Linked DNA regions of Diceros bicornis minor. The protein of the gene in region 2 interacts with the protein of the main gene of each other region in a pairwise test. Links are inferred from orthologs where the notes say so. Each region holds a gene or a part of one and is shown on either strand. Other genes may lie near its edges.

The links.
Region 1: the proteins of TRIP6 (region 2) and OIP5 interact in binary tests that used the Homo sapiens proteins (3 or more experiments, as listed by UniProt). The two-hybrid records come from large-scale screens. The link is inferred for Diceros bicornis minor from reciprocal best matches to the Homo sapiens genes TRIP6 and OIP5.
Region 3: the proteins of TRIP6 (region 2) and HOXA9 interact in binary tests that used the Homo sapiens proteins (3 or more experiments, as listed by UniProt). The two-hybrid records come from large-scale screens. The link is inferred for Diceros bicornis minor from reciprocal best matches to the Homo sapiens genes TRIP6 and HOXA9.
Region 4: the proteins of TRIP6 (region 2) and PRKAA2 interact in binary tests that used the Homo sapiens proteins (3 or more experiments, as listed by UniProt). The link is inferred for Diceros bicornis minor from reciprocal best matches to the Homo sapiens genes TRIP6 and PRKAA2.

Annotation. Positions count from the first base shown.
Region 1 is NC_080744.1:39,058,942-39,066,012, forward strand, and holds the start of OIP5 (protein Mis18-beta), read right to left. Parts: upstream 3,025-7,071; 5' UTR 3,010-3,024; coding exon 2,688-3,009; intron 2,460-2,687; coding exon 2,393-2,459; intron 1-2,392. Other genes in the region: NUSAP1 (nucleolar and spindle-associated protein 1), read left to right, coding at 3,380-3,472. UniProt on the Homo sapiens protein: Required for recruitment of CENPA to centromeres and normal chromosome segregation during mitosis.
Region 2 is NC_080765.1:5,033,902-5,041,069, reverse strand, and holds the start of TRIP6 (thyroid receptor-interacting protein 6), read left to right. Parts: upstream 1-4,159; 5' UTR 4,160-4,529; coding exon 4,530-4,638; intron 4,639-4,915; coding exon 4,916-5,043; intron 5,044-5,128; coding exon 5,129-5,254; intron 5,255-5,538; coding exon 5,539-5,922; intron 5,923-6,242; coding exon 6,243-6,336; intron 6,337-6,451; coding exon 6,452-6,621; intron 6,622-7,048; coding exon 7,049-7,168. Other genes in the region: SLC12A9 (solute carrier family 12 member 9), read left to right, coding at 1-160, 332-506, 711-857, 2,800-3,689. UniProt on the Homo sapiens protein: Relays signals from the cell surface to the nucleus to weaken adherens junction and promote actin cytoskeleton reorganization and cell invasiveness. Involved in lysophosphatidic acid-induced cell adhesion and migration.
Region 3 is NC_080742.1:51,998,653-52,005,416, reverse strand, and holds HOXA9 (homeobox protein Hox-A9), read left to right. Parts: upstream 1-4,208; coding exon 4,209-4,788; intron 4,789-5,827; coding exon 5,828-6,066; 3' UTR 6,067-6,248; downstream 6,249-6,764. UniProt on the Homo sapiens protein: Sequence-specific transcription factor which is part of a developmental regulatory system that provides cells with specific positional identities on the anterior-posterior axis.
Region 4 is NC_080752.1:18,540,055-18,547,025, reverse strand, and holds the start of PRKAA2 (5'-AMP-activated protein kinase catalytic subunit alpha-2), read right to left. Parts: upstream 3,021-6,971; 5' UTR 2,972-3,020; coding exon 2,878-2,971; intron 2,427-2,877; exon of another isoform or gene 2,388-2,426; intron 1-2,387. UniProt on the Homo sapiens protein: Catalytic subunit of AMP-activated protein kinase (AMPK), an energy sensor protein kinase that plays a key role in regulating cellular energy metabolism.

The DNA.
Region 1 (7,071 bases), on a different chromosome or scaffold from region 2:
ATGGCACAGAGCAAAATGTAAAGAAATCACAAAATTATGCTTACGCATGCAATACAAAACAACGATTTCATTGCAGATTAGTCTAATGGCCTTGGAGAATCGTTTGCATCACCACACCAGGTAAATAACTATGATCAGCTGAGTGCTTGCTGAAGGCAAAGGGAATACAGAACGGGCAGTGGAAGAAGGTAGTTATAAATACCAGCTATGAGCACGGGACGAGTTACAGAACCGAGGACTGTAACTGTCATATTTCCTCCCTATTTTGTTATAAATATGTTGGTGTGTATATGTGTGTTTATCTGTTTTCTTCCTTCTGCTTTCTTCCCTCTCTTAGCAAATATCTATTTTCTTTCCTCTCTTATTCCCTCATCATGTAACATAAGCTATATCGTCTTTATATCATCGTATTTAAGTATTGGTAATTTTACATCATGGAATTTAAGTTATGAGATATCAAAGAGAAAAGTAAACTTCACTTAAAGACTTTACCTCCTTTTCTGGAGAAGGGGTTAGTGCATTTTCAGTTGTATGCAGGATTCTTGTAACATGTTAGGCAGAATTATGACCTTGTTATTGTCTTTATTTGGAGATTAAGTATGGTTTTAGGAGATGCATATGGGAGCCAAGTTAACAACTGATGGTTAAATTTTATGTGTCAATTTTACTGGGCCACAGGGTGCCCAGTTATTTTGTCCAACATCATTATGAATGTGTTTGTGAGGGTGTTTTTTAATGAGATTAACATTTGAATCAGTAGACTTGAGTAAAGCAGATAGCCCTCGCTAATGTGGGTGGCCCTCACCTACTCAGTGAAAGGCCTGAATACAACAAAAAGGCTGACTCTCTCATGAGTAAGGGGGAACTCCTTCTGCCTGACTGCCTTGAGCTGGGACATTGGTCTTTTTTCCTGCCTTTGGACCTGAACTGAAACGTCGGCTCTTCTTAGATCTTGAGCCTGCTGGCTTTTGGACTGCAACTTACATCTTTGGTTCTCCTGGTTCTCAGGCCTGTGGACTTGGACTAGAACTAAACCATTGGTTCTCCTGTGTCTCCAGCTCTTGGGACTTTTCACCCTCCATAACTGCATAGCCAATTCCTGGTAATAAATCTCTTCCTGCCAAGTCCCATGGTTCTCCTTATTCCAAAAATACACAAACACATGGGACTTTTCCTCCAGTGTTTTATAAACCATCTAGATCAGTATTGTCCAATAGGAATATAATGTGAGCCACATAAGTATTTTTAAATTTTCTATTGGTCTCGTTAAAAAAAAAAATTTTAAAGAAACAGATGAAATTAGTTTTAATATATTTGATGCTACCCAATATATCAAAAATATCATTTCAACATGTAATCAATATTTTAAAATTATTAATTTTTTTGTACCAAGTCTTCAAAATCCAGTGCATATTTTGCACTCACAGCATATGTCAATTCAGAATGGCCACATCTTAAGTGCTCAATAGCTACATGTGGCTAATAGTTACAGTACTGGACAGCACAGGTCTAGAGGCATTATCCTCCTCTCTAAGCAGATGTTCAGAGAGCTTCTGCCTCTGGCCCCAAATGACCTAGTTCCAAGCAGGCCACTATTCCTTCCCTCTCTGTTCACTTGGGGTGGGAAGAGGACACTTCCATAAGGATAGGGAGTTAGTGTCTTTCAGTTGGGAGAGAGGAGCTGCAGAACGCTTCCTGGTTACTGAGTAAAGCAACCAAGAATTCCTATACATTAACCCTAAAACTGACCCAACTGTGGTCAGAATAAACCGTCTTGCTGTTAAAGCCAACAGTCAAAATTGAAGAGCCTTGTAATACTAAATTCACTGAGTACCTTGTTGTCACTTGTAAATCATAGTACAGGCAAGATGCAAAGTTCACCAGGCAGTATTCAAGTATGTAACACTCAACTTGTGTTTTTCCCCAGTTTCCAGGGTTACAGCAGAGTTAGTCCTGCCATAGCTTATTACAAACTCCAGGTTAAATGGAAACTTATAAGTCCTAGTTATCTCAAAGGATGGTAGTCTGTAGTAACTGATTCTCACTATACACCAAAAGGTAATTTTCTCCTTTTTCCCCTACTAGGCAGATGTTTCTTAGCCTCACTTCACTTGCACAAGCCACTAGGGAAATGTGACCCTCAGAAAGATTCTAAAATCAACACATAAATACCACTTTTCCAATGCATTAATACATCAAGTTCGTACAAGACTCAAGCAGGTAAAACGAGCATCCTTAGCATACACTGTATGGATGGAATCAACTTCTTCTAGCGCAAGATAAGAACAAGCTATTTTCTCCTCCTGCATGTCGGTTCCACACTCCTCAGTCTCAATAAGTCAGGGACTAGAGACAGATAGGTCTCTACAGACCGAAAATTCTCAGTACGTACCTGCCTTCGAGCACACCTTCAATGCCAACTAGGAAGGGAGCTTCCAAAACCACGTTATTTGTGACTCCTAGGAAAACAAACACGGGTCAGAATGAGTACCTGTGAGGCCTTGAAAGGGAAAACCTTCCCCCTTCAGACAGACTCATCATGGCCACAAAAATCAAGAAAATCCCGGCAAAGGGGTTCATTTCCTTCCAAATCTTCACCCAGTTTTCTTCCCCAGCTGGCTCTCGGCCACCCGGTGAGAAAGCTGGAACACCCTCTCGGGCCCTCCCCAGACGCCGCCCCCACTCACTGGAGAAGACCACGGCCCCTAGGGACCGCGACAGGTCCCAGGCGAGGTGCACCGTGTCAGCCAGCACGGCGTGGCACTGAGCGCACTGGAACACGGCGCACCTCTCGGGCTGCAGCCACGACGGCAACCGCGGGCTGGATGGCAGCTCCTCCGCCCCCAGCCCTGCAGGGCCGAGCGGCGAGGACCCCTTCACCACCTGCGTGTCCCACTCCATGGAAGTCGTTAAAGAAGGTTCATCAATCGCCTTCTTAGCGCTATCGCAAAAGTCACCCCGCGGGAGCACTGCATAACGCGAGCGATGCCGCCGCGCCCGAGCCGCCATTTTCCCGCAGCCGCGCCTCCGTTTCGAACACGCACCGGGCCCCGCCCCAAGCACGGTTCCTCCGTCCTCATTGGACATCGTGAGCCGGGGCTCTGCGGCGCATTCGTTGCCTGGACACGCCCTTCGACGCCTACGTGTTGGTGAGGGGTGGGGAAGAATATGCGACTAAGGGGAATCAGCCTTTCTATTGGTCAACACCAGGAAACCCCGCCTTCGAGGCATTTTTAACCAATGGAAGTGCAGCACCCTTAATTTAAACTGTCTATAAAATTCGGCTTGGTCAACGCTTATAGTGGCGCCAGAGATTTGAACGGCGCTGCTGAGGTTGGAGTGTCGATCGTCTGCGTGGTCGCCTGGATTACAGATCGCGATGACCGTCCCTTCCCTGGAGGAGCTGGACTCCTTCAAGTACAGTGACCTGCAGAACTTGGCCAAGAGTCTGGGCCTCCGGGCTAACCTGAGGGTACGGGGTCGATGGCGTGGGCCGGTTGCGGGAGGGGTAGGATGAGCGGCTTTAGGGAGACGCGGTGGGAAGGGACCGAGCCCGCCCTGGGCCGGTAGATTTGGTTAACGAGGAAGGGGAGCCGTAGTTTTCACTTTATTTTGAGGCTGACTTTTCTGAGGGCTCACATAGGCCTCGGCTCCGAAAGGGTGTGTTTGGTTCGGTTTTATTGAAGTACTCTGTGATACTTCCAGGGCGTCGGTTAGGAAATGCAGGCAGAAAGCTCAAGGAATGCTGTGTCTAATGCCGATTAATTATTAGGCAGTCGCGGAAATAATTGCCTTGGCTTCTGGAAAATTCCAAACAATAACACTTCTGTAAATTGTAATAGTGCCCAAAATCTCTTGCTACTTTATTGGGGGACCCAGAAGAAAGGAACACTTTTAGGGGACCACCCCTGTGGATAAATTTTTATATCTCAGCCCTGATGTACTATGAGCGTTCATTTATTGACCACTATTGTAGTAGTGTTCTGTTTCAAAACCGGTAAGTTCTTTGAGGCTGCAAAACGCTGGGGGAGAATGTGGGGATTCAATTTGGGATTGGGGTTCTATACTAGATTCTAGTGGAGTTTTCCCACATAATACTAATAGCAGAACAAATACTCGAGATTTACACTGAGCAAATGCCTAAATCAGCCATCTTAAATGTTTTTAAATGGTTTAAACAAAATAATAGTGCCCAGGTACCTCTTGGGGCTGAATGGTAAAGGAGTGTCTTTGGAGATATTTCTGAGCTATAATGTTTAATGGCTCCCCAATTTCATAAACAAAGCCTAATTCCTTTTTTTTTTAAATTATTTATTTATTTATTTGTGTGAGGAAGATCAGCCCTGAGCTAACATCCATGCTAATCCTCCTCTTTTTGCTGAGGAAGACGGGCACTGATCTAACATCTATTACCAATCCTCCTCCTTTTTTTTTTTCCCCAAAGCCCCAGTAAGGTGGTTGTATGTCATAGCTGCACATCCTTCTAGTTGCTGTATGTGGGACGCGACCTCAGCATGGCCGGAGAAGCGGTGCGTCGGTGCGCGCCCGGGATCCGAACCCCAGGCCGCCAGTAGCGGAGCGCGCGCACTTAACCGCTAAGCCACGGCCCGGCCCGCAAAACCTAATTCCTTAGCTTAAATCCCTTAGGCTTTTTGCAGGCTGGCTGGAATCTTTTTGTCCAAGGCTGCATCCAAATTGGACTGGTCCCTGAACACTTGGTACCTTTGTCCATCTTTGTGCCTTTGCTAACTTTGGCCCTTTGGCCTCAGATCCCTTTCTCTCTCCCTCTTCTTTATCTGCATGAATAATTTCCAATTACTCTTCACAGTCCATCTGAAATGTCATCATTGTCTTGGGGCCTCGTCCCCTCCTCTTCATTCCTTTAACCACAGGTCCAACATCCCAGTAATCCCAGGAACCCTCTGTGCTTTTAAAGCAGTTTAATTTCAAGTACTCTCTTTGAGCACTTGCAGGCTTCCACCTTGTACTCTGGTTATTTGTGTCTGTATGTTATCTTCTCCACTAAAAATTAAGTTCCTTGAACAGGGATCTCATCCATCCACCTTGGAAGTCTTTACAGCACTAAGTGCAGTATGTTTTATATAGAAGATGCTGAATAATTACTATTTATTATTTACAACCACTTCTTGACAGTGCTGGAATAATGCACCAGATGGTGGCAAGAAAGTTACAGTGGAGACACATACCTGAGTTCAGAGGTCTGGCTAACACTGAGGCCTACAACCATTTGGGTCTCTGAAGAGCTATTGCAAGTTAGATCTTTTTCTGAAAGTCCCACCCATCATTGTCTCTTGAGGTGGCTGATCCGGCGTAGCCAATTAATCACCTTGTCACAGAGGTGGAGTAGTACACTGTTTGTCACTACAGACCCCACCGCCTGCCTAGCACACAATATCTAGCACATCCTTGGTGCTGATACATATTTGTTGAGAGGTACTATTTCCCAGACAAATTTGACCATACAAGGCTTTATTATAACCAAAATAAAAAGACACTTTTGAGATGGAGAAAATTAAACTTCGACAATGTATTGTATTAAGCTACTGTTAATTTTGTTGGGTATGATAATAGTATTGTGATTATGTTTCTCTCTCTGTTTTTTAGTAACACATACCAAGTACTTACGGGTGAAATGTTATGATGCCTAGGATTTGCTATAAAATGCTGCAGGAAAAAGATGGGGGTCTAGATGAAGTAGGAACAGCAGAATGTTGATAATTGTTGAAACTGGGTGATAGATACATGGGGGTACATTACACTATTCTCTCTACTTTTGTATGTGTTCGAAGTTTTCCCTAAGTAAAATGTTTTAAATTATTTATAGCTGGTACAGCCCAGAGGCTCATTAAATCAATTGCCTTTTTAAATTCCAAGTACATAGCAAAAAATGAATAAAGTGCTCCAAGAAATTATCAAGATTTGATTATTTTTAAAATTTTCAATAAAATTTAAATAAATTTCACCAGTATGATAACATTCTAGATACATTTCAAAGAGAAAATATTAGCTCTTCCAGTTGAGATACTACTCTTGACGGTAAAGCAAGACAAAGGAGGCAGTTACTCATAGTTATTGTATGGCCACTGGTCCTTTTCTCTTCTCACTGCTGCCCTTGCTTTCCTTCTTACAAGCTTAGATTACAAAGACTGGCACTATTTCCACTTTCTTGCAGCTCCCCTCCCTCACCTGGCAAAACTCCAAGCCTGATTAAACCCAGCTCTGTGCTTAATCCTTGCCTATACCTAACCTGTGTAACCCTGGCTGGAGAAAATCAGCTAACTCTGTTGACTGAACTGAATTTAAATTTACGACCATAAATCATAAAATGAGCATTTGATTCTACTACACTTCCTTAGTAGTCATTAACTTTCCCATTTTTGAGGACAGTTAGTTTGTATCTTCTCACCTCAAATTGGCTCCCTTCTCTCACTTGATGACTTTTCCTCATGGGTCATGGAAAAATAGATGCAATCAGCTGAGAATTACTTCATCTTTCCACACCAACCCTCCAGCCAGCCTGCACCTGTCCTGCCTACTCTGCCTTCCGCCTGTTATAGCAAAAGGCTGCGCCTAAGGGCAGCCTTGCCATCTGTGCTGGGAACCCGTTCCCTCTTCCCGGGCTACACTCCTGCAATGAGCTCCCCTCTCCTACACCAGTTTCTCCCACTCCGCTGGCTCATTTCCATAAGGCATGCAGTCAAGTCTTACTATCACCCATCTTTTTTTTTTTTTTTTTTTTTAATTTTTATTTATTTATTTTTCCCTCAAAGCCCCAGGAGATAGTTGTATGTCATAGTTGCACATTCTTCTAGTTGCTGTATGTGGGACGCTGCCTCAGCATGGCCGGAGAAGTGGTGCGTTGGTGTGCGCCTGGGATCCGAACCCGGGCCGCCTGCATCGGAGCACACGCACTTAACCGCTAAGCCACGGGGCCGGCCCTGCTATCACCCATCTTAAAAAAAGAAACAAAAACCCTCTCCTAACCCTATGTCCTTCACCTACTGCCCAATTTCTCTGTTCTTTTCCACTGAAAGTACTCTTATTGAGGCC
Region 2 (7,168 bases):
CTTGCTGGGGGTGGCCTCCTGTCTGCTCATGATGTTTCTTATCAGCCCCGGGGCTGCTGGCGGCTCCCTGCTTCTCATGGGCCTGCTTTCCGCCCTGCTCACGGCTCGAGGAGGCCCCAGCAGCTGGGGCTACGTCAGCCAGGCGTTGCTTTTCCACCAGGTCAAGGGGGCTTGGAGGAGGGTGGGGAGGGGAGGAGGCAGTCTGGGAATGCCCACCCCTGAAGGAGGCCTCCCATTCCCTTGGCTGGAGCTGGGGTTCCTGTCTGAGAAGTGTTGAGTGGGGGCCGCCTGCTTGAGCCCTTCCTCCCCACCACCCCACTCCTGTCCCCAGGTGCGTAAGTACCTGCTCCGGCTGGATGTCCGGAAGGATCACGTGAAGTTCTGGCGGCCCCAGCTGCTGCTCCTGGTGGGGAACCCCCGGGGTGCCCTGCCTCTGCTGCGGTTGGCCAACCAGCTCAAGAAGGGGGGCCTCTACGTGCTGGGCCACGTCACCCTGGGAGACCTCGGTGAGTTGCCCCCCACTCCTCTTCTCCCTCTCAGTCTCAGACGCTCTTTGGGTTCTGTGTCCCAGAGGCTCGTGGTTCTTCCCGAACGATCCTTCCAGCCAGCCTCAGCCCTGCCTAGACCTTTTTCTTCTGCCCATTTGGGATTTGAACTCTAGGAGAAAGTACATGAGTTTGGCCCACATTTGCTGCCTGCCTTCCCCGCAGACTGCCTGCCCTCGGACCCTGTGCAGCCGCAGTACGGGGCATGGCTGAGCCTGGTGGACCGGGCCCAAGTGAAGGCCTTCGTGGACCTCACCCTCTCGCCCTCCGTGCGCCAGGGAGCTCAGCATCTGCTGCGGATCTCGGGCCTTGGTGAGCTGCTCCTTCCCCCGGCCCCCTAGGGCCTCTGTGTGGCCCCTTTCAATCTGTTCCCCTCCCCCAGAGAATAAACCACAGATTGCAGACTCCAAAAGGTACTCACTGTCGAGTGCAGATAAGACACAGCCTCAAAGCTAACAGACAGTGTGTGATAAAACCTCAGAGGAGATGCTTAAGGACTCAAGATGGGGCAACTGTTATTTTTTTCTGATCCAAAAATTGGGGCACAGGCTCTGAAGAGCATGTTGTATTTCTGGGGACAATGGGAGAATTATTTGAGCCTGGGGGCTGCCCCATCAAATCTAGGACAGAAGGTTTCTAACCACCCGAGTTCAGAGAAAGGAAGCTCACCATGTGCTGACGTGGCCAGCAAAGGTTTTGTGACAAGATGGTGTCTCAGCTGGGCCTTAGAAGGGGTGGAGAAGTAGAGAGTGATGTAACATGGCCCCCAGAGACCACAGAGGATGTGGGGGATGCATGGGGCTGATGCGTTTGGATGGAGTGGAGGATTCCCAGCTTTGTGACTGCGTCTTAGTACTGAGGCCTCCCACCTTGCACCCAGGCTTCCTCCAGATCTGTGCTTAGCTGCCTCCTTCTCTCTTAATCCCTCTCTGAGTGCATGCTGCCTTCTCCATTTAGAATCTGGCTAAAGTTCAAGTGTTGGACATTGCCCTGTTCGGTGTAAATCAGAACCGTGGAAAATGCTCAGGAGGGGGTATAACTAGCTTACTTTGCAAGATCAGCTGGAGTTCACACCTGCTGAGGTGTTTTGGGTTGTTTTCCAGCATTATTAGACAGACCCTGGAGCACCTGAAGGCCTGGTCTCTCCTCAGCCCCACCTTTTTTGGGGAAACCTGTGCAAACAAACCACTACTTTCATGAAATGTATCCTGTGGGAAACGATTCAAATAAAACAGAAAAGGTTTTCTCTAAATAGTAAATTTGCCTGGCAAGTAAAATTTGATTTCCTGGTAGATTTTAAGCAACCCATTTGTTTCACGAGAAGGAGTCTCAGAAGAGGTCTCAGCACCTTCTTGTACATGCAGCCCTTTAAAGAGGGAATTATCTGATTCCATATAGGTTATCCAAAAATTAAAAACCAGCGGCTGCTGGCAGGGACTGGGGCATTGTGGTTGGTACACACACCAGCTTAGAGGCTCAGAGAGTGTGTTCTGGTGCTGGGCACATTGTGCTCACCTGCCGACCCCATATTTACCAGCCCTGAGCCCTTGGGCAAGTGACTTCACCGCTCTGTGCCTTATCTGTAGAAGGGGTTGAAGTAAATAGTCCCTACCTCGTGGCGTTGCTTCAAGGATCAGATGAGTTAAAACACGAAGTGCTTTCTTTCAACAGCATGTGGCCCCCGGTTAGTGGGCAGATGTTAACTGTCTCTTCTCTGGGGACGGTGCTTTGGACCCACCATCATTAGGGCTTTGCAGTCATGGAAGCATTGTGCAGCCCCAGCCCGAGTTCTCATCCTTCCCCAGCAGAATCCGGGTGCTGTCTCCCTGGGGATTGAGGCCATGAGCTTGACTAATCAGGGGGTCTGGTCTGCCCCCGGGAGTCAAACTCATCTCCCATCATGAAAAAGGTGTGCTGGGAGAAGCTTGGAGCAAATGCATCTGACTGCCATGGACCGGAAGTGCTCATTAGTTAAAAGAATCCCAAGGTGGCCTCTGCTTATTTAAGTGGGGGAGATTAGTCATGGAGGTAAATCGAATAAATGCATGTGCAAGTGTTTGGGAAAATGAAAAGTCATCATGCAAATGTGCATAATGTTGCCTTAAGAGACCAGGCCCGGTGCGAATCTCATACCTGACGGCTGACACATTTCCTTGTCAGCGTGTAGGAGTGGGCAGGGATGAGCGTGGGGCAGTCTCTGCCTGTGAGTGTGACTCCTGTTGGTTCCTTCCCTCCTCCCCCTATCTGCCCCCAGGTGGCATGAAGCCCAACACACTGGTCCTGGGTTTCTATGATGATGCTGCACCGCAGGACCACTTCCTGACAGACCCGGCTTTCTCTGAGCCTGCAGGTGGCACCCAGGAGGGCGGGACCCCAGCCTTGAGCACCCTGTTCCCTCCTCCCCGGGCTCCTGGGAGCCCTCGGGCTCTCACTCCCCAGGACTATGTGGCCACGGTGGCAGATGCCCTCAAGATGAACAAGAATGTGGTCCTGGCCCGGGCCTGTGGCGCCCTGCCCCCTGAGCGGCTGAGCCGGGGGTCTGGGGGCACCTCTCAGCCGCATCACGTGGACGTGTGGCCCCTCAACCTGCTGCGGCCCCGGGGTGGGCCTGGCTATGTAGACGTCTGCGGCCTTTTCCTGCTGCAGATGGCAACCATCTTGGGCATGGTGCCTGCTTGGCACAGTGCCCGGCTCCGGATCTTCTTGTGCCTGGGGCCTCGGGAGGCCCCTGGGGCGGCCGAGGGGCGGCTCAGGGCACTGCTGAGCCAGCTGAGGATCCGGGCTGAGGTGCAGGAGGTAGTGTGGGGCGAGGGGGCTGGGTCCGGGCAGCCTGAGGAGGAGGAGGAAGGGGACTTCGTGAACAGTGGGCGGGGAGACGCGGAGGCAGAGGCCCTGGCATGCAGCGCCAACGCCCTGGTTCGGGCCCAGCAGGCGCATGGCAGAGGAGGAGGGCCAGGTGGGCCTGAGGGTGGGAATGGTGTGGAGGGGCCTGCCACTGCCCTCACCTTCCTGTACCTGCCTCGGCCGCCTGCTGATTCTGCCCGATACCCCCGATACCTGGCGCTCCTGGAGATTCTGAGCCGTGATCTGGGCCCCACGCTGCTCATTCATGGCGTCACCCCCGTCACTTGTACTGATCTCTGATGCCCCATCCCTAAAGCAGAGGGTGCCCAGGCCGGGAGGCCCACCTTGAGTAGCAGATGAGGAGGAGAAGGGCCGCCTCCCCGCCTGCCCCACACGTGGTACACGGAGCCAGGTGGAGGTATTAGGTGATCCTGATCTGCGGCATCTGCTGTCTCTGGGAGAGGGGCCCTGGTGCACGCGTGCAGGGCAGCTGTCTGGCCACGTCAGCCTCCCTCCCTTCACCGGTGCCTTGTCCGGGGCTGGGTCTCCGCTCGTGACTTCAGGCTACCTCAGTCTCCCCCTCACCCAACAGACTCACTGACCCCTGAGGTTGTGATATTTGTGTTCTGTTTTATTTTTCTAACTGCTGAACGTGAATAAAAGACCAAAACACTACGGGCTGGCGGAGCACTGCTGGGGGGTGGGTAGATGGGACGGGAGGAGGGAGACATCTGTATGGGGGGATGTGGGAAAGAGGAGCGCCAGAGCGTCCCAGCGTCGAGGTGGCCATGGGCAGGACCTGGGGCGCGGGGCGCAGGGCCTGGGGGACTCGGGGAAATGGAGGCTGCCTGCAGCCTCCCAGACGCCGGCTCCGCGGAAAGCCCTCCCCGCTCAGCAGGAGGGGGCTGACTAGGGAGGGACAGCAGTTTAGGGCCTAGGGGGCCACGTGACCCTCCCCCAGGAATGCGATGATGTCACAGGGGGCGTGGCCATCCCCAAAATTGGGGAGGAAGAGGAAAAAAAGCCAGAAAAAGTTTCTTTCCTGGAGTCCCAAACGAGGGACGGAAGAAGGGGTCAAGGCCAGAGGCTCAGGGCTCCGTGAGGCCCTGACCGCGGTCTGGAGGTCCCCCGTTCCAGGCCATGTCGGGGCCCACCTGGCTCCCCCCGAAGCAGCTGGAGCCCGTCAGAGCCCCTCAGGGGAGAGTGCTCCCCCGGGGCGCCCCGGGGCCGCCACCAGCCCCCGGAGCAGGTAAGGCAGTCCCCAGTGGGCCCAGGAGGCCACCTCTGCCCTGAGGCTCCTGCCTCCTGCCCAGCCTGCCCAGCCGCCCCTTCCCCGGAGCCAGGCTGGGACTAGCCGCCCCTGCCCTCTCGCAGCCCTCCCCACCTCCTGTCCCATTCTCGGAGCCCAGGTGCGGGAGGGGGGGGGTGAGGGGGAGGGGAGACGAGGGACCTAAGAGGGCGTCCTCCACAAGTGTCACCCTCGTCTCCTTCCCCATCTACCCTTCCTCTCTCTTCCCTCACCGCAGCACTCCAGTCCCACCCCAGGGTCAATTTTTGCCGTCTCCCATCTGAGCAGTGTTACCAGGCCCCAGGGGGACCAGAGGATCGGGGGCTGGCCTGGGTGGGGTGCCATGGAGCACCCCAGCGTTCACAGGTGAGAACCGGGATGGGGGGGTGAGGGCAGGGCAGGAGAAGAGGGCCGTGTGATTTGCTTCTCCCTGCTTCTGCTCCATCCTCAGGGGCTCCCCCCAGACAGAGGGGGCTTGCGCCCAGGAAGTCTGGATGCTGAGATAGATTCGCTGACCAGCATGCTGGCTGAGCTGGATGGGGGTCGTGGTCATGCCCCACGGCAGCCTGACCGGCAGGTGACCCCCTGTCCTGCCCCGTCCCTCCTCTGCTCCCTGTCCCCTGTCCCCCCACCCGCCCCCCTAGCCTGGTCCCTTCTCTGGATTCTCAACCCAGTCCACCCCTCACCTCTACCTTGTGGAAGAAGCTGGGCCACCAGAGCTTGCTAGGTTGTCAGCCACTTGAAGGCGGGCCGTTGTCAAAAACCAGCACTTACCTGGGTGCCACACACATGGGTGGGGCATTTCCACAGGTGTGTGTCCTGAATGGGCCCAGCTCACTCCTGGTCTGCGTTTCTCCTCAGGCTTATGAGCCCCCTCAGCCCCCTGCCTACCGCGTGGGCTCCCTGAAGCCGAATGGAGGGGGTGTTCCTTCCCCACCGCTCCCAGCATCCACTTACGGGGGCCCCACTCCGGCCTCCTACACAACAGCAAGCACGCCCGCCGGCCCTGCCTTCCCTGTGCAAGTGAAGGTGGCACAACCAGTGAAAGGCTGTGGCCCCCCCAGGCGGGGGGCCTCTCAGGCCTCCGGGTCCCTGCCGGGCCCCCACTTTCCTCTCCCAGGCCGAGGTGAAGTCTGGGGGCCTGGCTATAGGAGCCACCGAGAGCCAGGGCCGGGAAGTGAAGAGGAGGCTGCCGGGGTCTCTGGCCATGCAGGAGGAGGAAGAGGAGGCGGGTATGGGCCCCCGGTAAGCACCGTGTATGGGGTTTGGGGTCCTCACAGACAACTGGACACTGATTGGGCGGGGTGAGGAGTGGTGTTTAATGTCCTGGTTGTCAGAGGTCTGAGGTGTCGGAGCTCTAGATCCCCGGAGAGTGTGGGCAGGTCAGGAAGTACAGGACGGAGGGGACTGGAGCTGTACCCTGGCTCCCCGAGGTGTGCCGCCTGGACGCTGGGCTGAGACGTTCTCAGATGAGCTTTCTGGGCAGAACTGCCTGGTCACCCTCAGCGATTTTCACAGGGTCAGGAGCTAGAGGTAGGGCCGAACCCCTGATTCTCACTTCCCAGGTGCCCCTGAGCCAGCCTCCCGAGGAGGAGCTTGAGAGGCTGACCAAGAAGCTGGTGCATGACATGAACCACCCGCCCAGCGGGGAGTACTTCGGTGAGCTGACCCCACCGGTGGGGTGGGAAGGGGGAGGTGGGGCTAGAGAGTCAGAGGGACAGCCGATCCAGCTTCCTAGCTTGTGCAGATTGACCCTGTCCCTCCCTGTCCCCAGGCCGGTGTGGCGGCTGCGGAGAAGATGTGGTTGGGGATGGGGCTGGGGTTGTGGCCCTGGACCGCGTCTTTCACGTTGGCTGCTTTGTGTGTTCTACGTGCCGGGCCCATCTTCGGGGCCAGCATTTCTATGCTGTGGAGAGGAGGGCATATTGTGAGAGCTGCTACGTGGTGAGTGGTTGGGGTGGGGGGCTTCCATCCAAGGTGGGAACTAGATGTCCAAGCCCCAAAGAGGAACAGGACTCGAAGGTAGGGGACTAAAACTGATGTACAAGAAGAATGGAGGACTTAAGTAGCTAAATACTGCCTGCTGGAGGGAAGGACCACAGTCCCTTTACAAGTGTGAGGCATTTATTTTAGAGTTAAGGAAAGTGTTAAATTCCCACCATACCCCTGTGAGGCAGATATTACTACTGAAGGAAACTGAAGCTCAGAGTGGTTAAATAACTTGTCCATGAAGCTGCATTGCTGAGACTTGCCACCTTTCACTGAATCGCACGCAGGTGGATACACGAACAGATGGTTGGGCTGGCAGGATGCTTGTGGGGCTGCCATGGGTCACCCCAGCCCTCAACCTTCCTCCCTTCCTTCCCAACAGGCCACCCTGGAGAAGTGCTCCACATGCTCCCAACCCATCCTAGACCGGATCCTGCGGGCTATGGGGAAGGCCTACCATCCTGGCTGCTTCACCTGTGTGGTGTGCCACCGCGGCCTCGAT
Region 3 (6,764 bases), on a different chromosome or scaffold from region 2:
GCGGGGCACGCAGTAGCAGCGGCGGGCGCAGGTTGGCGAGGGGCCGGGCCGGGCGCGATCTCAGGGTTCTCCCTTGGCGGCGGCAGTGGCGGCGGCGGAGGCGGCGGCGGGCGAGGCAGCCCCGCGCGGGCAGCACCAGAACTGGTCGGTGATTTAGGTAGTTTCCTGTTGTTGGGATCCAGCTTTCTCTCGACAGCACGACACTGCCTTCATTACTTCAGTTGAAATCGTCTCCAGGTACCTGTGCGCGCGGGGGCCGGGCCGGGCGGGGCATCCAGACCCTGGTCGTGCCAGGCCTGCGGTGGCAACCTCGGCTTTTCCCACGCAGGAGCCTCGACCCTGCCTCCTTCTCAGAGCTCTGCCTGCCTGCTGGCCTCACCCCCCATCTCTACCTGGCCCCGAGCAGGTATGGTCAGGTTAGCTGCTCCTTAGCGGACGCCGGGGGCGTGGTAGTAATTCTGGGCCCCGAGCCATTCAAGGTCAGGGGCGCACGCTTCCGTCCTGGGCCTTCCCCGCTCCAGGCCTGCGCCTGGCCAGGGACCCGCGATTCTGCTGCAAGGCTAGGACAACACTAGCCCCAATCCAGGTACGAGATCAGGAAAGATCCCTTTGCCAGTGGAGACTCAGGCCAAACTGGGGCGAACAGAGGCTGGGATCCCGGCCTTGCCACTTACCCTTCTGTCTGTAAACCACTCTCTACTCCTGGGAGTCGCCTTTTTCTTCCTTCTTTCTTTCCTTCTTTACTCTTTTTTCTTTATTCCTTCTTTCTTTCCTTCTTTTTAATTTTCTTTCATCTTCAGTCTCTCTGTGTCGTTTTCTATCTCCACCTCCCATCCTCCTCAACTCTTCCTTCCAGAGGGACCCAGGGCTGGCTTGGGGAGAGCCTGGGGGGGTGTTATTTTTCTCTGCGTGCTCAAGTGGAAGTCGAAATCTGCCGAGGAAGGGTACGCGTGGGGCTGCTGTTGAGGGCTGTGGATCTGGGCCTGGTGTGCCGCTGCGCAGACAAGGCCTCGGTTACGATCACGACCGGATGGCGGCGGCCTTGCGTTCCTACTCCGCGGGCCAGTAATGGCAGCCTAGGAGATCGGATTAGGGGGGCATTCGCGGCGTTTTTGTGTGCCCACACCGAGGGCAAGGAGGCCTTCGACAGCCTCCCTGGGGACCTGAGGCTGGGACCTGGGCTGAGGCCCAGCCAGTCTCGGTAGAGCCTGGCAACGCAGGGAACTCCGCGGGGAAGCTTCCTCCGCTCTCCCAGGCCTGCCGGTCCCTGCTCGAGCTTTAACCGCGATAAGGAAGCCCCGCTAGGGCAAAGATTCGCTGCTTGCTTGCCACTAGCTTCTATCAGGTTCAGAGTATGTTAGAAACGGCATCCATGTGTGGACGGGTGTTGGGGAAGGGGACCCTTCCAGCGCGAGTCTGTTTCAAAAAATAGGGGAAAGGAATCCTAAATTCCAGAACCGTTGGAATACAAACTTGAGTCCTTGTTCCAAGTTGTAGTCCACCGTTGGAAGCTAGTCGGACCATTCTCGCTACCCAGAACTGAAAACAATCTCCATCCCTCCGTACCCCCCGACACACACACACTCGCGGGCCTTCAGACTCATGCCCACCGAGCGAGCGGTGCTTCCCTTCGCAGCTCTGGCCGAGGGCCCGCCGTCCTGTTATCTGAAAGGCCGGCACAGCGCGTTCCTCTCAACTCCTGTCTGCCACTTTCTGGACCCGAGCATTGGATTTGTTTTGGAGGCCGAAGTTTTAGAACTCGCAGGCGAGAAGAAGCAGTTTGTAATTACACCAACTTATTTCTTTATGCAGACGCAATTCTTTTCACTTCTAAAATAAAAGCAGACACAAAAGCCTAAATATTCTCTCCCCAAACCTCTGGGATGAAGAGGGATAATATTTGGTTTTGTAATTTTCCCTCCTTCTTGGCATCAGTAAGGAAGACTAAAAACTCAACGCCTGCTAATTATTTAGTAACCATCTTATTTTGGGGGCTAAGGCTATTTAAAGAACAGCCTTTTTATTTGGAAAAAATGCTAATAATAATTCGTGTCTTCTCGGTACAAAAAGTGCAAAGGCAGCCAGGCGTGTCCAATTACAATTAGGAGTGAAGGTTTTCTCCAAGGTTAATTTTTCTTAGTGAAAATCTCAGGGGCTCCGCGAAGTGCTCGAGTTTGGGACACCTTGGGCTGCGGTGGGGGTGGGGATAACGCGGAGGAATTTACAGGGAAAGGAAAATATTAGGGGGGAGGGGGCCGAGGCGGCCAGGACCAGCCACGTCGGAGTTCATTGTGCGCACCACTTCCCTCTTCCGGCGCCGGCGGAGGAAGGGGCACCCGGTTGGCCTCCCCTCGGCTTCGCAGCCTCACTCTGGTGGAGAGCCTGGCATGTAAGGATCTCCACCTGGGATCAGGGTTTTGGGGGGGATTACTGGAACCGTTAGGGCGGATGAAGGCAGAAAAGGAGATGGAAGCGCCCGAGGCCGCCCGCCCTCGCCGCCAGGGAAGTGGGCTAATGAGAAACACTCTTGCAGGCACAGTGTTCACACGTGAATTTAATTACCTCATTTTTCAGAGTCGCTGCTTTCTGTTCGGATTTGGGCTGGGTTCCCCCCCTCCCCCCCAATTAAGAGAGGCGAGGTCTTTTAATTTACCCCTGACTCTCAGGAGTGAGAAATACCCTCCTCAATTTGGCCAAGTTAAGGGATGGGATTAAAGTCAATGCCCCGTGCCCCTCCTCATTTTAATTTCTAGCCCTGGACTTGAGTTGCGGCCGCCTCCGCTTTGGGCCTTGTAACTCTGCTGAGCCGCCCCGCCGGATGGGTAACCGAGGCGGGCCCGGGGCGGTGGCCAGGAAGGATGGAAGGAAGGAAGGTACCCTGAAGGACTCATACTGAGTCCCGAGGCAAGCCGCTCCGGTGCAGGCCTCCCAGCTACTGGAGCCGCGGGGTCTCAGGCGGGGCTGCCTTTTTGCAAGCTGGACTCTCCTTCCACTGGTGCTGCCGCCCGCCTTTTTTCGCAGCTCTGGTTCGGGGAGCGTCATCAGGCTTGCAGAGCTCAGTATTAGGGCCTTAGAGGTCGGAGCACAGGGCTGGATCGCCTCCTGCGTCCGCAGGGGATCGTGCTTCTCAGCGGACGATGAACAGTGCGCGCTGAGCGCGCGTGTGCGGGGGCTCGGGCGGAACACGCGGCACAGCCAGGCTCTCAAACCCTTCGCCTCAGGGACGGCTGGCTGCTCCCTGTGCGGCCGCTCCTCGGTGGGGCCCACGCTGGAGGCGCAGGGGAGAATTTGGGAGCTGCCCCGGCGCCCGGCGCCCCAGGCTGGCAAATTCCAGGGGCCCTCGATAGGCGGTGCCCTCTCGGCGGCCTGTCTCTGCCCAGCGCGCCCGGGCAGGGGCAGGGGTGTCTCTGTTTCGGACGGATACTATGTTGAATTTGACTTTTCGCAGCCGGTCCGGAGTAAACTCGCATCTCTGGGAACCGCAGGGGTTATTTACAGGGAGCTCGCCAACCAAACACAACAGTCTAATTTAACCTTTCCAAGTCCTCGTAAATTTTTACAGCTGGGAGCCACGGCGAGGAAAACGAATCTGTTGGTGGTTCCCAACTTCCCACCAGCCTGTGTGGCTTCTGAAACAATAACTCCTTATGAAATATCATAAATATAGATTTAAATACAGTAGACGGAGAATGCGATTTGGCTGCTTTTTTATGGCTTCAATTATTGTCTAATTTTATGAGGGGCTCCGCTGGCCGCACTCGCACGCAGGACCCGCGCCTTGCTGATGGCGTGATTAATTGTGATATAAAATAGTCCGCTTAAGAAGTGTGTGTCTGGTGGTGGCGGTGGGAGGGGAGGGGAGGGAGGGAGTACAGAGGCAAGGCCAGATTTGATCTTTTAATCTTCGTTGGCCACAATTAAAACAAACCCGATCGTGGAGCGCCGCGATCCCTTTGCATAAAAACATATGGCTTTTGCTATAAAAATTATGACTGCAAAACACCGGGCCATTAATAGCGTGCGGAGTGATTTACGCGTTATTGTTCTGCCGGGCGGGCACGTGACGCGCGCGGCCAATAGGGGCGCGGGCGCCGGCAACTTATTAGGTGACTGTACTTCTCCCCCTGGTGCCACCAAGTTGTTACATGAAATCTGCAGTTTCATAATTTCCGCGGGTCGGCCCGGCCGGCCGGGTGCGGGGCACGGCGATGGCCACCACCGGGGCCCTGGGCAACTACTACGTGGACTCGTTCTTGCTGGGCGCCGACACCGCGGACGAGCTGGGCGCGGGCCGCTATGCGCCGGGGGCCCTGGGTCAGCCCCCGCGGCAGGCTGCGGCGCTGGCCGAGCACCCCGACTTCAGCCCGTGCAGCTTCCAGTCCAAGGCGGCGGTGTTCGGCGCCTCGTGGAACCCGGTGCACGCGGCGGGCGCCAACGCGGTGCCCGCGGCGGTGTATCATCACCATCACCACCACCCCTACGTGCACCCCCAGGCGCCGGTGGCTGCGGCGGCGCCGGACGGCAGGTACATGCGCTCCTGGCTGGAGCCCACGCCCGGTGCGCTCTCCTTCGCGGGCTTGCCCTCCAGCCGGCCTTACGGCATTAAACCTGAACCGCTGTCGGCCAGAAGGGGTGACTGTCCCACGCTTGACACTCACACTCTGTCCCTGACTGACTATGCTTGTGGTTCTCCTCCAGTTGATAGAGAAAAACAGCCCAGCGAAGGTGCCTTCTCCGAAAACAATGCTGAGAATGAGAGCAGCGGAGACAAGCCCCCCATCGATCCCAGTAAGTGTCTCCTCCCGCCATACCGGCCGCCGCCTCCACGCCGGCCACCTGGATCTGCCGGCCCGCCAGCTTTCTCTCAAGTCTGCCTTCGCCCGCGCTGGGAGCCTCCTAAGCAGGGGCCAGAGCCAGAAGTTGCTGTTTGGGACGCCTCGGATGGGGCCCCAAGTCCAGAGAGCAGTGACAAGTGGGCCCACAGGGCTGGGGGGAGGGGAGGCGGCTGCTGCCGAGAGAGGGGGCGGGGCGGGCGCTGCGGGCCAAGCCAAGACCAGTCGCCCCTCTCCCTGGCTGCCCGGGACCAGGACAGAGATACTTTGAGCCATTCTTCGAAAGCAGCGCGGCAGAGAGTCTTTTCTGCGGCTAGATTGTCTGGGAGCAGCGGCAGCAACTGCAGCCGGGACACTGGGAGAGACGGCCGATTCCCTCCAGTTCTCGCCTTCAGCCAGTGGCGGCGTAAATCCTGCCCAAGATGAGGCTGCAGGCGCCCGGGCCCCGCGAGTCCCCATGCCAGATTATTCGAATAAACTGGAGAAGTGATCAACGGCCTTGGGCCGCCCAGGGGCACCGTGCTTGCCTGCCCAGCTCCTACGGCCTTTCAGGGAGGTCAATAAGGAGTGGGAGAGTAGAAGGAAAGGTGGGGAAGGGAAGACAGTGAGTCAGTGAGGAGCGAAGAGAAGATCAATCCTGCTACATGAACAGGGCAGCGTGGATTCTCCCTGCCTGGCAAGAAGCTCTGTTTCCACATTTCACTCGTACAGTGTGCGGAGAGTGGGAGGAAGGAGAGGAAAAGACGGGAGGACAGAGGAAGAAGAGAAAGGAGGGCCTCAGAGGGGAGGGGGAGCCGAGGTTTTACTGCGTGCAATTGTAAGTGACCGTCCCTGCGTCTGTCTGCCAGGGTTCCATTGTGTCTGTGGCTCAGCCGCCTTCCCTAACCAATTCAGCAGTGTCCTGCACTTTGGTCGAAGACCCCAGGAGGTTCCCTAGCCCCCAGCGGAGGGGGGGTGTGCTTCTCCTTCTAAATTCCGTGTCTCTCTCCCCACAGACAACCCGGCTGCCAACTGGCTCCACGCGCGCTCCACGCGGAAGAAGCGCTGCCCTTACACCAAACACCAAACGCTGGAACTGGAGAAAGAGTTTCTGTTCAACATGTACCTCACCAGGGACCGCAGGTACGAGGTGGCCCGACTGCTCAACCTCACCGAGAGGCAGGTCAAGATCTGGTTTCAGAACCGCAGGATGAAAATGAAGAAAATCAACAAGGATCGAGCGAAAGACGAGTGACGAGACTCGACTTCGTTTAGAACACAGCCAGAGAGCTAGAGAGAAAGAGAACGGACTGCCTGTCCCCTTCTCCCACCCCCATTCCACCCCAGCCTCCACCACCCCGCACAAAGGGGGTTCCAGGCCTCATCTCCCCCTGGCAGACCCTGCTCAGGCTGGCTCCTTGGCCTGCCGTTTTGATGGAGGAGGTATTGTAAGCTTTCCATTTTCTATAAGACAAAAAGGGGGGGGGGTGCATTAGCACTGATGGCTGCGTGTGCTAGCTTGTATATATTAAAAAAAAAAATCTACCTGTTCCTGACTTAAAACAAACAAAAAAAAACTACCTTTTTATAATGCACAACTGTTGATGGAGAGCTGTATAGTTTTTAGTCTGTGTAGTTAATTTAATTTGTTCTTTGTGCGGCAGAGCGATCTGCCCAGATACTTGAACACTGTCTTTTATTGTGGTAATTATGTTTTGTGACTCAAACTTCTGTGCTGGGTGATGCACCCGTTGTGTTTGTGAAAGCTAGAATTCAATTTGAACTCAGGTTGTTTATGAAGGGGAAAAACAGTTGCATAGAGTATAGCTCTGTAGTGGAATATGTCTTCTGTATATTAGGCTGTTAACCTTTGATTGTAAACTAGCTGTAAGGATTTCCCAGTGACATAAATTTTTTTAAAAAAGAGAGAAAGGGTTCTCCGGGATACATAGA
Region 4 (6,971 bases), on a different chromosome or scaffold from region 2:
TGGTAGGACTGTAAAATGGTACAACCACTTTGGAAAACAGTTTGTAGTTTCTCTAAAAGCTAAACATAAAACTACAATATGACCCAGCAATTCTACTCCAAGGTATCTAAGATATATAAGGTATCTAAGATATATAAAAACATATGTCCACACAAAGACTTGCATGTGAATGTTTGTGACGGCATCATCTGTAACCGCCCCAATCTGAAAACAATGTCCATCAAATGGTGAATGTACAGACATAATGTGGCATATCCACACAATAGATTATTACTCAGCAACAAAAAGGAACAAACTAGTGACACACTCTATGTCACGCATGAACCTCAAAAACATTGTTAAATTAGTCAGACATGAGAGACTCCACACTGAGTGTCCCCATTTACAAGAAGTGGCCAGAGAAAGCAAATTTATACAGACAGAAAATAGATTAGTGGTTTCCTGGGGCTGAGGGCAGGAACAAGGATTAACTGTAACCGGGCATGAGGGATCCTATTGTGGTGATGAAAACGTTCTAAAATTGATCTATCATGATGGTTGCACCATTTGGTAAAGTTACTAAAAATCATTGAATTGTTCACCTGGAATGAGTGAATTTTATACATAAAATATACCTCAATAAAGCTGTTTTTAAAAATGTACGTACTTTTGTTTCTTGTCCCTCGAAGAATTAAATGAGTAACTTTAGATTGTAGCAACTTCCATAATTTTTATTGAACAACTCTAATCTTGGATGGGAAACCACAGTCTAACTTTACAAAGGCTGTAACCTAGCCTTCAGAACAGCCCTCCAACTGGCTGCTCCTTGGACAGGGGTCCTCCAGGAAAAGAATTTCTCATAAATCAAAGTATATTCTGTTGGCCTATATTTGAAGAAGCCAGTGCCTGGAAGCAGCTCAAGAGTATACAAAAGAGATTCAAGCTGTCCTCTGACAAGGGGCCAATTGAGTTGATGGGTGTTCTAGTCTACATTCAGATTACAGCTGAAGAATTTAAAAAGATAAACAAAAATGTTTTGAAAGGACATAGGGTAAGTTATATAACTTTAAGAGTGTACATGTCCAGATGGCCAAGGCACTGTTTGCTTCAGGAAGTGAATAATGTCCAAACACATTAGTCCTCAGTAATGATACTTAATGACGAGTAACGTTACAAGCATTAATCCAATCCCTGGATCTTCCTATATTCAAGCTAAATATATTCTCTGAACTATGCACTTTATTTACGAGGTCTTTCAAAAATAATCCAGAACTTCATAGCCTCATAGGACTTCAAAGAATTTTACAACCTTTTTAGGTCTTTACACAAACAGTACCTTATCTGTGAGGCCTTGCTTGACAACTTTATTGAAAATTGTCAACCTCACAAAACTCCCTATGCTCCCTTCCCTGATTCATTTTTCTCAACAGCACTAGACATGCTATATAGTTTACATACATATTGTGATTATTGTTCGTCTTCCCCTACTAGAATATAAGCTCCACAAAAGGAGGGATTTTAATCTGGTTTTGTTTCTTGCTGTATCCTCACTGCCCAGAACCGTGGCCAGCACATCATAGGTGTACAATAAGCATTTTCTAAACAAAACGGTATCAGATATGTGGAAGTAAATAAGAGCTGATGCAAACAATGAGTTTCTTCTACCTATTTAACAGCCTTGATTTAAGATTAAAATATGAATTTTAAACCAAATAAAGGCCTCAGAATAAAATCTCCAAACTGCCTACTGAACTTCTACAGCAAAAAGAAAAAAAAAATTCAACATTTTACTTATAATCCTGGATGTGCAACAATCAAAGGGAAAGTATACTTAATAAGCTGGCTCTAGTTCTGGAAAGAGGACAAAACAATTCAATCCCATGTGACTTATTAACAACAGAAAAGGAAAGTTCAATACTTAACTAGTAAGAAGTAAAACATTTCAAAAGCAGCCTGTTTTTCTACACCCAAAATGGGATCCTATCACCAAGAAAACAGACCTCAGCGGACTATGCCTCAGCAGTTCTGGCCTCCTCAGCCCCACATCCTCCAAGGTCAACACCAAGGGGGCTTTTTTCTCTGCCCCACTCCTGAAGCCTTCCTAGAACCATTTTACACATGCCAACCAACCTTCCGAACTCCCAGCTCTAATCAACCCCTGACAAATCCAGCTGCATGCCAGCCCTTCACATGCCCAGCAGAAAGACCGACCCACCTCTCGCCCCTGGAGCACCCCCTAGACAGCCAGCCCCACCAACCTAGAGCCCGGGAGCATGCAAGAATCGGGAGGGCAGGGACCTCCCAGCCTGCCCAGAATCGGAAGACATTTTACTCTTCATCCTGGTTCTGCCAATTTCTGTGTGACCTTGAGCACGTTCCTCAGCCTCTAGGGGTCCCCGTTTTCTCACCTTCAACGTGAGAAGAACACCTGACCCAGCTGCTGTGAGAATTACAGATCACAAGGAAAGCACCTAACGGGGCACCTGGCAGAATGGAAACTCAACCATCAGGACCGTGGAGGAGCCCCCCGTCCGGCCCATGCCGCAGCTGGAAGGCACGCCACCGCCGAGTCCGCGCTCCCGGGTCTACAGAAGGTACTCACGTCCGCGCAGGGGAAGCGCCTCGCTCCCGACCACCGGACGGGCGGCTGGGCGCGGGCCCTGGACCCCGGCACTGCTGCCCCCGCCCTCGCCCTCGCCCTCCTCTCCGGCCCCTGCCCTGCACCTGCCACCACTGCGGGGCCAGGTGCGCCCGCGCCCTCCCGGGGCCCCGGCTCCGCGCGGCCGGGCCGCTCCACCTGCCACCAGGCCCGCGCCCGCCGCCCGCCACCCTCCCGCCCGGGCTCCGGGGCTCGGCCCGGCCCGGCCTCGGCGAAGCGGACGGCCTGGCGTACTCAACTCTTCACTTTGCCGAAGGTGCCGACGCCCAGCGTGTCCCCCAGCACGTAGTGGCCGATCTTCACCCGCCCGTCGTGCTTCTGCTTCTCAGCCATCTTCGGCGTGCGCGGCCTCGCCGCCGCCCGCTCCTCCGCCTGCTCCCCCGCCGCCGCCGCGGGCTCCTCAGCGCGGCCGCCGCCGCCTACCCACAGTGCAGCGGGACCGGGGGGGGGGGGGCCGGGGCGGAGGGGCGCGGCGGGGGAGGGCCGGGCCGGGGGGGGGACTCGCTAAACGGCGGAGGCTGGGCGCGCAGACCCACCGAGGGGGCGCGGCGAGAGGCCGGGGGCCGGGCCCGGCCGCGGAGCGGAGGGAGGGGCCGGAGCGCGGGCGGCGGTGGGGGGAGGCCGACAGGTGCGCGGGGAGCCGTGAAGGGACGGCGCCCTCACCTGCGGAGGGGCCGAGGGCGAGGGGGGTGCTCTAGGGGGCCCGTTAGGAGGAAAACGGAAGGGAGTGAAAGTGTGCGGCTGAGATTTGGGCGAATCTTAGCGAATGGAAAGAGATGGGAGTCGAATTCGAAGCAGAGAAACAGGCCCACAGTGTGGGGAGCGAGAGGATGTGAAAACCGCAGTGTGAGCATGAGGGAGCTCAGGGATGGGAGGCGGCGGGGGCCGGGATCCAAGGTCAGCCCGAGGAGAGCCAGGAGGAAGTTCCTCACGTCACGGCCTGGGAGTTTTTGATACAGGTCGTGGCACACACGGAACCCAATGCTGTGCTCTCTTCAATTGTCCTCCTCTACGTATTTCATCATTTTCAATTATTTTGTCCTAGAGATGGAAGAGACCCTCTCCTCCAGAGCTCTCCATTCTAACTAATTTGCACAAAGTTCTTCATTAAATCAGTCACAATATTTGCTTGATGGTATTTAGCACATGCTTAGATAAATATATAGTGTAGAAATAGCCTGTGATGGGGCTGCACCAGAGGAAAATAGTGCAAGAAATGAAAAGGGAAATTGAATATAGTGAGCATAGGAAGTAAAATACATAAGAGACAAAGAGAATTGTGAAGAGGAAGGGCTGTAAGGGCACAAATGAATGAAAGATAAAGATAGAAGGTGGGGGGACAAAATGGTAAGAGGAAACAAAGGCGCGACACCCAGGTACTGTATTGAATACTGACAGGAATTTAGTAATGAAGGAATGTCTTCCTTCCTTCCTTCCTACCTTCCTTCCTTCTTTTTTTCCTTCTTCCCTTCCTCCTTGCCTCCCTCCCTCCCTTCCTTCCGTGTCGTCCTGTTCTTCAATGTTGCCTGTCTTTCAGTGCTTGCAAATTATTTGCTGATTGGAATAAATGTTTAAGGATTAGTTGAACATTTTTAACGTTGTGCATGACGATGACGTTTCAAGGTCACATTCCTCAAACAAGAAGTGTCTTATCACGCTGTTTATGTGTAAAGAGAGAAATACATTGATCAGAAAGAATAAGATGTAACAGAAGTTTGTTTTCTGAGAAGTGATAGATATACAAATGGCAAATATACATACATTCTTGTTTAGACACCGTGACAATCTAATGAGAGATGATCACACCTTATAAATTATAGATATCGCAGCTGTTGAACAGAGGCTATTTTTGTTCATTCTTGGGATCATCTTTCTTGCTGACAAGAAGTATCATTTAAGAATCACTCTACCTAGCTGGCAATTTGGAGAAAATAGCCAGTTATTTTTGATGCTGACCCTTCCTTCATTTGGTTAAGGGTCACTCCTTCAGTATTCATTCAAGTGAATAAGGAAACAAAATACATATTCTGCTTTTGAGATAACAAGATGTATGTCTGTCTCTTGTTCTAACATCCCATTAAAAGATGTTGAAAAGTCTGTTAGATTGGTTTCTTGAAGCTGCGTGAAGACCGACTATAGAGATTTTAAAGGATTCTGCACTGTCTTAACTATTTGTTGATAATTACAACTTAAATGATTATATCCTTCATAACTATGATCCTTACCTAGCAACTATAATAAATAAATAAATAAAATAAAACTACCCTGTAGCTTTATTATTATGCCAAACAGGTGTATGATACTTTGTTGATTAAAAAGTTCATTTAAACACAATTATCTCATTTAATTGTCGTAAAAGAAACTTAACTATTATCCCCATTTTATAGATGATAAAACTTAGTTTTTCACTGTCTGATTTGGCCAAGGCTAATCAGTTCAGTGGCAGAGTCAGAACTCAATATCCAGTTCTGACCTGTCCTTTTGTCTTTCTACTATGCCACAGCTGCTTATAAATAAAGATCATGTGGTGCTCCAAGAATGTTTAATGATTTTTTTTTTTTTGCTGTATTTTTTTTGTGTGTGTGAGAGGAAGATCAGCCCTGAGCTAACATCCGTGCTAATCCTCCTCTTTTTGCTGAGGAAGACCAGCTCTGAGCTAACATCTATTGCCAATCTTCCTCCTTTTTCTCCCCAAAGCCCCAGTAGATAGTTGTATGTCATAGTTGCACAGCCTTCTAGTTGCTGTATGTGGGACGCAGCCTCAGCATGGCCGGAGAAGCGGTGCCTCAGTGCGCGCCCGGGATCCGAACCCCGGCGGCCAGCAGCAGAGCGCACACACTTAACCTCTAAGCCACGGGGCTGGCCCTCCAAGAACATTTAAGATGTTCACAATTAAGAGTCCCAGTCTCCTATTTTTATTATTTCTAGAGCAGGCCAACAATATATACTTTAAACTCATATTTTTAGCTGTTTTCCCCTCTTTTATTTAGAGGGAAGATTGAATGCTAAATAGGTGAGAAAGGTGGGAAAGGGCACCCCTTGGTGGCAGCACTCAGCCGTCTAGTGCCCTGACCATTTCAGGTGTGGTTCCATGTTTGCCTCACCCCACCCTGCAGTACAAACCTGACAGTTAATCAGACCAAATCTCCTTAAGGGTCATGCCCCTTGGGGGTCTCACCTCCCAAAATGTTCTGGTAGATAGAATGTTCCCCATTGTATTATTTTCCAGTGATGTTTCAGTGTCTCTGTGTTGTTTAGTACCAATGTCTAAGATGAGTGCCCCAGGCAGCTACTCAGTTCTTAACCCTGGTCAACTGTTCCTGCTTTACCCTCCTACTGTTGGGTCTTTGGGGTTATTTTACTTCAAATATTCTAAAGTGGGGCCTGAATAAGAGAATAATGGCATACCACTGAACTCATATACTATACTAGAGTCTGTTGGTATTATCAATAACCAGTTCCTTCAAGTCTTTGCTCACAGTCACCTTCTCGCTGAGGCTTACCTTCTCTGACCAGCTTATTGAAAATGGCAATTTCCTAGGCATTTTGTTCTTTTGGTTGCAATTGTAAATGGGACTGTATTCTCGATTTCTCTTTCTGCTATTTGGTTGTTAGTGTATAGAAATGCAACTGATTTTTGTATGTTGATTTTGTAGCCTGCAACTTTACTGTATTCATTGACTATTTCTAATAGTTTTTGGTGGATTCTTTAGGGTTTTCTATGTAGAGAATCATGTCATCCACGAATAGTGACAGTTTTACCTCTTGCTTTCCGATTTGGATCCCTTTTATTTCTTTTTCTTGCCTGATTGCTCTGGCTAAAACTTCCATTACTATGTTGAATAAGAGTGGTGCAAGTGGGCACCCATGTCTTGTTCCTGTTCTCAGAGGGATGGCTTTCAGTTTTTCACTGTTGAATATGATGTTGGCTGTGGGTTCGTCATATATGGCCTTTATTATGTTGAGGTAGTTCTATAGAAGAAGGAAACTACTATACCCATTTTATTGAGAGCTTTTATGATAAATGGATGTTGGATCTTGCCAAATGCTTTCTCATCTCACCCACACTCCCTGCTCTGCACTCTCCATCCTCCAACCCTTCTCAACGTTTTTCCACGGCACTTACCTTCTAACATACTATTTAATTTAGACGTTTATTATGTTTTTGTTTTGTCTGTCTCTCAACTAGAACATAAGCTTCACAAGAGAGGATTGTTTTCTCTATTTTGTTCACCAATGTATCCTGAGCTCCCAGAACACTGCCTAGCAAATTATAGGCACTCAAGTGGATTCAGGTTGTGTGGCATCTGAGGTTTATGTGATGTGCGGGACC